Linked DNA regions of Notamacropus eugenii. The protein of the gene in region 1 purifies or fractionates together with the protein of each later gene. This does not show direct contact. Links are inferred from orthologs where the notes say so. Each region holds a gene or a part of one and is shown on either strand. Other genes may lie near its edges.

Region 1 (6,222 bases):
AGATTGGATCATTTAAACTATCTATTTCTTGTTCTGTTAATTTGACTATTTTTTTTTTGCTAATATCCACCCATTTCATTTATGCTATGAGTTTTGTTGGCATATAAGCAAAATAGTTTTTAATATTTTTATTTCTCCTTCATTTGTTATGGAGCTTCCATTTTCATTTTTTATTAATGTGGATTTCCTCTCTTAAAAAAAATCATACCAGCTAATGTTTTGCCTTTTAAAAAAATCTCCCCCCACAAAAAATCCCTAGATTTTAATAAACTCTGAATTTATTGATTCCAATTTTGTTAATTTCTTACTTGATTTTCAGAAATTCTAATTTTTGTGTTAAGTTGAAGTTTCTTGATTTGTTGCTTTTCTATTTTTAAAAAAATGTATGCCTACTTTACTGATCTGTTCTTTCTCTCTTTGGTTGATGAAAATGTTCAGAGATATTAATTTTCCCCTAGGGATTGCTTTGGCAACATCCCAAAAGTTTTGGCATGTTGTCTCATTATAGTCACTTTCTTTGATGAAAAAGTATCTATTAGTTCTATTATTTGTCCTCTGATTCATCAATTTTTAAGAATTAAATTATTTAACATCATTTACGTTTGGCTCTTTTCTTCAAAGACCTTTGTGTTATGGTCCATAACGCATGCATTTCATATTTACAATTTTCCATACTGCTTTGAGATTTTTATATGTGAGCCAGGAGTTGATAAACTACGTACAGAGCGCCAAATCTGCATCCTCCTCCAATTTCCCCTGCTTAAAATGACTTTTACATACTTAAATAACTTTATTTTAAAATACAAAACCAGTCTTAGCCCAGGGTGGTATGAAAACAACTAGCAGGTTGGCTTTGGCTTGCATGCTGTAGTTTGCTGAGCTGTTGCCTAGTATGTGGAAAATTTTGCTACACACACACACACACACACACACACACACACACAATGAATATGCTGATATGTGTATCAAATATACATATAGCTGAGATATGCATATAATCTTTTTCATTCCTACTCAGTAATTTTTGCCAGAGATCTATGATATCTAATTTTTCTTAAATTCTATTCATTTCTTAACTTCTTTCTGGCTTATCTTTTTTGGTCAGATCAGCAGAGTTTGGAAATGGGTAGCACAGTGTAGACCTCAACCATTTAGTTTTGTTATCTATTTCCCCATGTACTTTAGTCAAATTTTTTTTTAAAGACTGATCAGATATGTGATTTTATACATACATTCTCTTTCCCAGCAATACTCACAAAGGAGAACCTGAGATCAATAGAGTCTTTTTATTGCTTTTTTCTTTAGTCCATCATTCTGGAATTAAAAATGCACTGTTCTGGAGATGCCTATTACATCAATTACCTAATTCATAAAATTCATTCAAAGAAAATATACATCTAAGTTTTTGTTTTAATCTTCAATACTTCAAAAACTATTAAGTATGAAATGTTTACAAAACAGCAATAACAACTGAACAAATAGCAAGTAGAATAAACTACTTTTCCTCTGTAGTTTCATTATAGACTTTACAAGCTTTCTATTATTGCTGTTTTCCTATCTTTTTTCCTCTTCTCAATTAATCAATACTTAATGATTTTGTTTTTAAAAGGAAAAATCACTTCTTGACTATTTAATTACAGATTATCTAGACAGATAGTGACTATCTATGGTCAAACTCAATATAACCTCTGTATTTTACCCCCAAAGTTTCCAATTATAAAGTGTGTTATTAGGAAAGAGAAGAAAATTTAACAGCCTAAACAAAAGATAAATAGGTCTATCAAGGAAAAGACACAAAAGAGATTCTCAGTACTAACAATAATGTATTATATAACATCTGAATTAGCTATACTATTTTTATAGATAAGACTGAAAGCTGTCCATCAATGAAAACCTACAGTCCTCTAGAAGTGAACATATCATCATCCTTCCCACTGCCATTCCCCTATAGAGACAGCTATTTCTACTTCTATATTGGTTACCTAGCTCATCATCCTACAGATTCACTCTCCTCTCTAAAATACTATACTGAGTATTTCTGACTCCAGACTCTGTCCTTTGGATTCCCAGGCCACTCCAGGAAAGGGAGAATAAGTTGTGATTTTTGTGGTTTTTTTATTGTACTTAGACACTAAGGTGGTAGGCTCATGTAAATGAATAAATGGTATTAGGACTACCAGAAATTTTTGTAGGTGACATAAAAAAATGTGTGTATACACATACAACACATCTCAACCAATTTTCGTGCTTCAGATTCAAATCACTTCTTTATTACTTGGTGGTAGAGCCTGTGTTTAGAAAACAAAGCAATCTAAAAATCAGTATTTAGCATGACCTATACTTAATTTTGTAAAAGCTGGTCTCAAATCCAGCTTTGAATCCTGCCCCTAATATCATGGCTATTTAACCCTGGTCAGGCACTTAACTTCTCTAAGCTTTAGACCAGGACTCAGTAAACCACTGGCATAGGAATTGGGCCAGATTTGGAATGTGGAATGTATTTTGTCATCTTCCACTCTAGGCAACTCTAAGACTGTAAGTTGCAGAGAAGATACCAACCTTATTGATATAAGGTCTTTCCTATCTGGGATTTTTCCATATTAATGAAATCACAGGTCCAGTGCCTATCCTTATCCTATAGTAAATCTTGGGTCTAAATAAATGAAATATTCTATAGTGTCATTAAAAGTTCTTACCTCATCAAATCCAGCAATTTGCATATCTTGTAGCATTTGTCGATTAACTTCTGATGCACTCCTGGTGGATGAATTGGCTTCATTTGCAAATGGGAGTAGAGAGTTTCGTATTTCTTGCAAAGCTTTATGATATGTCACAAATTTGGGTGGATTTCGGCCTTGTCGAGGATCTTCAGTTGTCATTTTGCTCATATTATGCTCAGCTTTTGCAGCATCTGATGGTTTAGGTAAATTCCTAAGAGACTCCCGTATTTCTTGCAACATTTGCCTGCTACTGCCAGTGTAGTTACTGGCAGGAAAGGTCTTAGGCCTCATTTGTCTATACCCTTCCGGCTTTTCACCTCTCTTCATGAAAACATCTATCTGTATAACCTTCACAAAGGATTCACTCACACAAATACTTGTCAAAGCTACTTGGTAGTTTCAGAATTCTCTCAAGCAAAAGATGAAAATAGTACTTCACAAAACATTGAGGTCTGCTGGATTCTTTACTGCTGAAATGATTCAACTCTGAAAATGACAGAAAATTACAGCTATAATTGCTTATAGTGAAAAGAACGCTGAATCTAGTCAGTAATCTCCATTCACCTAATGAATTATTATGTGGCTAGAAAAATCGCAAGCTCTCCATACTTCATTTTCTTTATTTTAAATGCTCAGAAATGTTGCAAGGATCAATGCGTAAAAGAACTTTGAAAAATATAAGATATTATACAAATACCAGGGATTATCAATAAATTTGCAGTGTAATAATACAGCCAACAAATGATTATTAAGTGTACTGTGCTAAGCAGTGGAAACAAATACGGGGGCAAAAATATTCCCTGCCCTCAAGAAGCTCACATTCTAATGGAACAGACAACAGGTAAATAATCAGGTAACACAAGATATATACAGGGTAGATAATCAACTAACCAATCTATAAACATTTGTTAAGCATCTACAATGTGTCAGGTACCGTGGTAAGTGCTAGGGATAAAAAAAGAGGCAAAAGACAGTCCCCCGCTCTCAAAAGAACGTACAATTTAAGGGAGAGAGAATATAAAAACAAAAAAAATATTTATAAAGCAAGCTGTATACAGGATAAATAGGAAATGATTAACAGAGGGAAGGCATTGAATTAAGAAGGGGTGGGGAAGGCTTCCTGTAGAAGGTGAGATTTTACTTGGGACTTAAAGGAAGCCAAGGAGGTCAACAGCCAGAGTGGTGAAAGAGGAAGAGCATTCCTGGCATGGAGGACAGCCAGAGAAAAAGCCAGGATTCCAGAGATGGAGTGTCTTATTTGTGGAATAAACAGAAGGCTGGTATCACTGGATAGAAGAATATGTGTTAGAGAGTAAGGTATAAGAAAACTGAAAAGGTAGAAGGGGGTTAGCTTATTAAGAATTCTGAATGCTAAACAGAGCATCTGGTACTTAATCCTGGAAGTAACAGCAAGCCACTGGAGTTTACTGAGTAGGAGGGGGAGGGGATAAAGTGACTTTAAGTTTAAGAAAATTACCTTAGTGCCTGAAGGGAAGATGGACAGACTTGTAACAGGGAGACCAGGTGTGAGATGAAGAGGGCCTATACTGGAACAGAGGCAGGATAAGAAGAAAGAAGGGGGCAAATTCAAGAGACACTGAAAAGGTGAAATCAACAGGCTTTGCCAATAGCTTTGATAATGGTGATTGAGAGATAATGAGAAATCCAGATGACTCCTAAATTGAGAGCCTAAGGGACTGGAAGGATAGTGTTGCCCTTTATAGTAATAGGGTAGGTAGGAAGAGGGCAGGGTTTAGAGGGGAAGATAATGAGTTTGATGTTGGACATGATGAGATGAAGTTGTCTACTGAACATCTAGTTTGAGATGTCTGAAAGGCAGCTGGAGATGTAAGGCTGAACCAAGTCAGCAGAGAGACTGAGGCAGGAAAGAGGTCTGAGAATTATCAGCACAGAAATGGTCATTAAATCCATGGGAGCTACTCAGATCACCAAGTGAAAGAGGGTGAAGAGAAGAGGAATCAGGGCAGCCTGCTGTGGGACACTTTTGGGGAGAGGGTGTGATCTGGAGTAGGATCCAGCAAATGAGATAGAGAGTGATCAGGCAAGGAGGAGGAAAACCAGGAGAGAGTAGAGTTTTGACAACCTACAGAAAAGAGTCTTCATGAAGAGAGAATGATCATGTCAAAGGCTGCAGAGAGGTCAAGGAGAATAAGCATTGAAAAATGGCCAAAGAACTTAGTAAGTAAGAGATCATTAGTAACTTTGGAGAGAGTAGTTTTGGCGGAATAAAAAAATCAGAAGCCAGATTGTAAGATGTTAAGAAAAGAGTGAGGGGGGAAAGAGGAGCACTTACTATAAATGGTCTTTTCTTTGAGCTGAGCTACAAACGGATGTAATATACAGAATACAGTGATGGAAGGGCCAAGGGAGGGTTTTTTCAGGATGAGGGAGACATGAGCATGTTTGTAAGCAGAAGAAAATGAGCCAATAGAGAGGGAGAGAGGGAAAATAAGCCAAAGAATGGGGATGACAGAGGTGGCAATCTGTTGGAGGAAATGGGATGTAATGGGATTGCTTGAACAAATAGAGGGGTTAGCCTTGAAGGAGTAAGGTCTTATCATAGGTGAAAGATAGGTGAAAGAAAAGTGGCATGACACCTAAATAATAATAGATGAGGAAGTGGAGAGAAGAGTTCATAGTGAATGACATTTTTTAAATTTTTTTTTAATTTTTAGTAAAATATGGGCAAGGTTCTCAGCTGAGAGAGTAGGGATTAGAGGGTATGCGAGCCAATTTGAAAAACCTACTGTGAATAGTGGGGCAGTGAGTTGATAAAGGAGGTACAGCAGGACTGCCTACTGTAGGCCTGTAAGCAGAGAGGGCCCAGGTGAAGTTCAGAGAAGAAAGCACTTGGCAACTGGAGAATGGAGTATGAAGGGACATCACTAGAAAAGGCAGAAAGTGGGATGTGAACTGAGTCTTGAAGGAGGCCAAGGAAATTAAAAAGTGGGGTAAGGTGGAATGGTATTCCGGGGGGGTGGGGGTGGGGCTAGATATCACAGTGTATTTTTAATGTATTTATGCATAATGGGAAGATCTTTCCCATCCATAAACAGGCTCATCTGACCTGCTTGAGTCACATGGAAGCCTGAGTCACATGAGTCTGTGGTAGGAGGAGCTTGCCAAAAGGGTGGAATAGAGCTGAAAGGAAGGCAGACACAGCAGTTAAGAGCTGAGGGAGAAAGAGGAAGTAGGCAGCGTGCAATGAGTGTTTGTTTGTGGGAAAGCCCTAACAGGGAAGGCTTGGGGATGGTGGTGTCCTCTGCATTGTTAGTGAGCATGGATTCCTTTACTGCTATGATGGATTTGGCTTTCTGGTGTTTAAATAATTGTTTTGGTTTTGTCTTTCTATGTAGAGAATGTGTTATATTTTGTGATTCTGAATTTTACTGGCATATTCATAGCCACTGTAGGCACTGTGACTATCACAACATTGCTATACACAGTAGATAAGGGTGTTAAGCCTGGAGTCAGGAAGTCC
Region 2 (6,222 bases), on another chromosome or scaffold:
CCACTTCACTAATAACTGAAAAGCTTTTTTTTTTTAAATCTTCCCTAATGGAATTTCTTCCCAATGATACTAATTTTACTTCCATATATATATATATATATATATATATATATGTATATATACATATATATATATATATATATATATATATATATATATATTTGTCTTCCCTTATTAGAAAGTAAAATCCTTGAAGGCTGGGACTGTCTCCTACTACCGACAAACTCAAGTTTCCAGCCTGTTCTCCCACCTTAGGGAAGGAACGTATCACTATTTATACTCCAAGATCCTGCTCCCTCCTCTGAACTGCCCAAAGATCTGAAACAACTCCAACTTAGATCATGACAGCACTGACTTTGAAAATCTCTCTAAATTTTACACTTAATGATTAACAAAAATCTGGTGACATCCTACACATCCCTGTTGGTCACCATACAAAACCCAATCTGTTCCCCAACTACCCAATTGTTTATTCCCATTCTCCTCAATCCCCACCCCCAAAGTCCCAACCAAACATACACTTCACTGTGTCCTCTCTAATGCAACAAATTTGCTTTCATCTTAAATCTTTTCATTTCCCACTCCTATCTTTTGAATCTCATTGAGATCAGGCTCCTTCCCTGGTAACCCTTTCCAAGACCTGTCTGAACTTTCGTGCATTCCCCTAGACTCATGGAAGAGGAGTTAGAATACTCCTTATTCCCTAGTATCACTTCCAGGTTCATTCCATCTACTACAATCAATCAGTAAATTCTCCTCCTTGAGGTCCAGGCAATCTACATCTACTACCCAATCAAAATCCTAGTAACTGTAGTCTATAGACCTCCAGGATATTCCCTTTCATTCCTCAATGAGTTCAGTACCTGACTCACAAGCTTTTCTTTCCAACTCCTGCCCTCATACTAGGAGACTTCATCATATATATATTGACTTTCTCTCAAATATAGTAACACTGCAATTTCTCAATCCATTCATGTCCTACTCCTCCATCCCACATAAGCCACACACAAAAGATGGTCATACTCTTTATTTTACCATCAATCACAAATGAACCACCTCTGTGTTTATGAACTCTGAAATTCCCTTATCTGATTATATTCCATTGGCTTTCTACCCTTCCCTTTGCCTTCCATTACCAAACCAGGCTTTTTGTCCACACTGTGCTCTCCAACCACTCAGTTCTCTCTCAGACCATCACTTCTGCACTAGCCTCCTCTTTCCCAGTTCAACTCTATAATGTCCTCACCTCTTAAATGTCTTGTCCTCTTACCATAAGGCCAATTATGCCCAGCCAAGTCTCAGTCTTGTATCATTCCACACTCCCAGTGTGCATCATTATACAATTGCTGAACAAAGGAGAAAAATCACACAACTGTTCTGAGTCCACTACAAATTTGTTACCTAACTACATGTGTCCTCATTGCTGCTAGGCAATCACTCCATACTTTCCTATTTAATTCACTATTCCACTCTCAACAAATGTTCTTGCAAACCTCTTCTCCCCTCCTCCTCACCTTATAATACTCTGATACAAACTGCTACTATTTCCTCCTTCACCTGAAGCACGATGTGGCCCCTCTCCTTGCCAAGGCAAACCCGGATATCTGCATAAGTGGTTCCATTCCATTCTATCTCCTCCAGCGGTATGCCCCCTCTATCATGCCAATTCTCTCACTTAAATACAATCTCTGTCTACTGGCTACTTCCCTCTTGCCTGAAAAACATGGTTATGTCTTGATCTTCCATCTCCACTAATTCTCATCCAATATCTCTTTAGTCTTTTGTGATTAAACTTCTTAAGAAGGCCACATATAATAGATGCTTCCACTACCTTTCTTCTCACTATCTTCTTAACTTCACAATCTGGCATCTTCTAACTTCATTATTCCACCAAAATTGCTCTCATCAAAGTTAACAATGATGTTCTAACAGCCAAATACAATGGCCTTGTCCTAATCTTCAGACTTTTGGACCTCTCTGAAATCTCTGACACATTTGGTCATCCTCCATTCCTCAACACTCTCTTTGCTTTAGGTATTCAGGACACTGCTCTCTCCTGGTTCTCTTCCTACCTGCTCCTTCTCAGTCTTCTTGGATGGATCTTCATCCAGGGGAGTCCCAGTAACCTTAGGTATCCCACAGGGCTCTATTCTGTGCCCTCTTTTCTCTCTGTATTATTTTACTTAATAATCTCATCAGCTCCTATGAATTCTATTATCATCTTTAATGTTGATGATTCTCAGATCTCCTTATCCAATCCTAACCTCTCTGCTGAGCTCAGCTCCCATCTCCAAATGCCTACTGCACATATCTTAGAGACATCTTAAACTCAACATGTTCCAAACTGAACTCATTCTCCCCCCCTCCTCTGTGGTCCCAGCTAAAATCTCACTTTATACAAAATGTCTTTTCCAATCCCAATTAAATAAACTTAAAAGTTTATAAAGAGCTTAGTACAGTTTGGTCCTTAGTAGATGCTATATAAATGTTTATTCCCTTTCCCTTGCCTTCTCTGCCCCCTCCATCCCTCTTAATTCTAATCTCTTCTGTGATGATTTACTATTTATCCTCTATATAGCTTCTTTGTACATAATTGTTTGCATGTTATCTCCCCCAATAAATTGTGAGCTCCTTTACGGGCAGGAACTGTCAATGCCCAGTGCTTAGCACAGTGCCTGGCACACTGAAGGCATTTAAAAGGGGCTGCTAAATGGTGCAGTGAGTATAGCACTGGGCCTGAAGTTAGGAAGATCTCAGTTCAAATCTGGCCTGGGACACTTACTAGTTCTGTGATCCAGGACAAGTCATTTAACCCTGTTTGCCTGAGTTTCCTCACCTATAAAATGAGCTGGAAAGGAAATGGCAAACCACTTCACTGCCTTTGCCAAGAACACCCCAAATAGGGTCAAAAGGAGTCTGCTACAACTGAAGGACAACAGAAACAGGCACTTAGTAAATGTTTATTGAATGTCTCACTTTCATCATTGTACCCCCAGCACCTAATAGGCTACCTGCCACATAGTATATTAGCCCTCAATAAATGCTTTTCTATTTATTTACTTACACATTCTATGATCCAGCAAAACTGGCCTCCCTCCTGTTGTTCTATCACCTGTTTCTGTGCTTTTGCACTGTCCTCCCATGCTTCGAATTCCCTCTCTTCTATGCCTTAGAATCCCTAACTTCCTTCAAAAGTCAGCTCAAGTGCCACCTCTTTTATCATCCCTCCCCATCTGCTAATACCGTTCCTAAAAATTATATTTCTTATTTATGTTTATGCATACTGTTTCCCTATAGAACTTAAGTTCCTTGAAAGCATTTGCCAATTCATTTTTCTCTAGCACACAGCAGGCCTTTAATAAAGGCCTGCTGTTTCACCAGATGTCTAAAAGCTGGAACTGGTTTCCAAACACTTCAAATTTAAACTTTTAGATGGCTAACTCCCTGAAGAATCATAATTCACATTGTTACACTAAGTCTTTTATCGTAAGTGAAAACAATGCCAACATGGATACAGAGTAACATATAACGTGATACTCTGTCCTAAGGGCAAGATTTTGATATCTCATGTACTGTTTTTAGTTAATTGTTCGAAGGAGAAAACAAACCAAAGCAAAAGAAACCAAAAAATAAACATCATTAAAAATAGTGCCCTTGGAAGTAACCTAAGTCAAGGAGACACAGGTAAAGCAACCAGGCAAATCCCAGAGTTATAGGTATGAATTATATATGTGAATGTATAGATTTTGGCCAAAGCACGGGCTGACTGGTGCCTGGCACCCCTTCCCGCCAGCCCCAGGTCGCCCAAACCCAGCTCAGCCCTCATCCACACGCAGCTCCAAGCGCTCCTTCTCCACCCTCCCCGGCAGCGGGGCCAGCAGAAGCCAAGCCTTAAACTCCCGGGCTTCAGGCCCCGAAGGGAGCGCAGGGCCACGGCAGCCGGCCCTCCCTTCTCGGCGCCGCCGCCACGCCCCTGCCCCCTCTCGGCTCGCCAGGGACTCACTCCGCAGCAGTGGCGAGGTCTCCTTCTTTACGTACTTCCCCTGCACTTCGGCCGGTTTGGACACTTCGTTCTTCGTTTTCTTTCGCGACAACATCTCGCCGGCCCGGTCCGGGGCCCCCCGAAGCCTCGCAGGCGCCCAGCGAACTTTCCTAGAGCGGGCAGCCCCGGCCTCCGCCGCGCCAGGGGGCAGCGCCACAGCCCACTTCCCTTCCAGCCGCTAGCGAGCCGCAGTCGCCCGCCGCCCCAAAGCCCCGGCTCCTCCGCAGAGAATGCTGCATTTTACGGGGCTGCTAAGTGTGTCGGCCGCTCCGCACGCTCCCGTTCGACCCTTTCCGGAAGCTCGCCTGCTCCGCGGGGCCGCCCAGGGAAGCGCAAGCGAACGAGGCCAGAGCCATGATCCGCGGCGGCTCGGCCTGTGCCCGGGAACGAAATCGCGGCAGACTCCTGCGCCCGGGACCTTTCCTGTAGGCTGCAGGGGATTCTGGGGGATTGTACGCAGCACGTGCCCTCTTCCGCCCGTTCTCTAGCCGGGCACAAACAGCGCGGGGAGAGCTTAAAGGAGTAGCCAGGGGCGGCTCTTCTTAGTGAGTCCGGGGAGGAAGCCAGGAAAGAAGAGTACTTGAGGACAGGAAGGAAGACGGGGAAAGTCTTCATTAGATTCCATCTCAAGATCTGTAAGTTCGACCCTCCGGGGAAAAAAATGTTCAGCCCTAGCCCGACAAGGGCTTAAAAAGAGAAGGGGAGAAGGGAAGGAGAGGAGAGGATCAGTTTAAAATTGGTATTTGATAGGCAAAAGTCAAAATCATTCCCTTCCCAGCATACAAATGAAATAGAAAATAGGAAAAGGAAACATTTATTCTTAAAGAAAATATGGAAAAACAAAATCATATATCACAATTATATGAACAAAATATTAAACATAAACTTGAAAATTGCCACTCTTGAGCAGGTAAGAGTAACATCCAAGTTGTGGGCCTGGGTGACTAGGAAAATGGTGGTACACGCCAAAGGAATAGCATAGGAGGAGTGGAGGATATTTGTGGGAAAGATAATAATGCATCCAAGAGCCCAGGATGCAGTCTGACCAGTGAAATTCTTTTTACAAAGCTTTGTTGAAATATACAGTATTCTTAAAATCAATATGCTCAGTAAATTTAGGTCGTGTGGTTGTCCTATAAAAAGGTAATAGTTGTATGGACGGGACTCATTGATGACATGGATAGATTTCTCTAAAATCTGGCTTACCTCTCCAAGGAAGACTGAGTCCTACCTCAAGAGCAGAGAAGAGCCATGACTGAACTCTTGCTTCTTCTCTTGCCTGTTTCCAAGAGAAGTATCAAGCTATAAGTACATCTATCTGCCATCTCAAATATCAGTATTCTAGGTGTACAGGTTGTTGTTGTGTTCGTCTTTCGTTTTCCAAGAAGACCATGACATCAGAGAAATGATGATATGACTTGCGTTTGACTTTATTTTGAGTTTAGGAGGGCTGTGCAAGGTCACCAGCCTCACTTTCTCCTCCTCAGGTGTACAAGAATAGTTCTGAAGGAAAGCCAGGTCCCTGATTACTCTTAAAGATGAGAATAGCCCTCATTCAAAAAAGTGTAGTGCTGTCAAAAAAAAAATTTAACTTCATAATCTGTATTGTAGACACAAGTCTGCCAGAAACAATTTCACATAACTTTATATATAAGCATTTCCAGCTTAGAGAGAGAAATGTTCAAACTGAACTCATTCTTATGCCTCAGGACGTCTTTATGCTCCAAGATAATTTTCTGAAATATTTATAAGAATCTATAAGAACTGTTAAAGTAGTTTGGTATGACATTTCAGAACAATGGTCATGAATATTAGTTATTTAATCTTCGACTAGAACCACTCAATTCCTTCCTGAACTATTCCTCTCAAATTCTGAAAGGATCTTCTTTCTAAAATCGTAATCTTTTCTGAACAACAAGAGGTGCTTCTTTCTTACTGGAAAAGAGATTATTTCCCAAGGATGGGTCACCCACTACTCTAGTTATGATCTTAATAAGAGAAGAGGTACTCTGTTCAAAATTTGTTTTCCACTTTTAATCCAGTTTCCTGAATATTGACCTAACCCACCTTCCTAAGGTGACAAGTCTGGGAAGGATTTTTGAGACTGGAAAAATACATGTTTCTTCATATTTCTAGAGAAGATCAAAAGAAGGTTTCCACCTTTCCACCAAACACTGGTT

What was found. Proteins that work in one complex are often made in the same cells at the same time.
Region 2: the proteins of LATS1 (region 1) and SAV1 purify together in Homo sapiens (affinity purification with western blotting; 3 studies listed by BioGRID). This does not show direct contact. The link is inferred for Notamacropus eugenii from reciprocal best matches to the Homo sapiens genes LATS1 and SAV1.

Annotation. Positions count from the first base shown.
Region 1 is NC_092873.1:241,732,654-241,738,875, forward strand, and holds the start of LATS1 (serine/threonine-protein kinase LATS1), read right to left. Parts: upstream 3,182-6,222; 5' UTR 3,048-3,181; coding exon 2,697-3,047; intron 1-2,696. UniProt on the Homo sapiens protein: Negative regulator of YAP1 in the Hippo signaling pathway that plays a pivotal role in organ size control and tumor suppression by restricting proliferation and promoting apoptosis.
Region 2 is NC_092872.1:308,772,624-308,778,845, forward strand, and holds the start of SAV1 (protein salvador homolog 1), read right to left. Parts: upstream 4,505-6,222; 5' UTR 4,098-4,504; coding exon 4,004-4,097; intron 1-4,003. UniProt on the Homo sapiens protein: Regulator of STK3/MST2 and STK4/MST1 in the Hippo signaling pathway which plays a pivotal role in organ size control and tumor suppression by restricting proliferation and promoting apoptosis.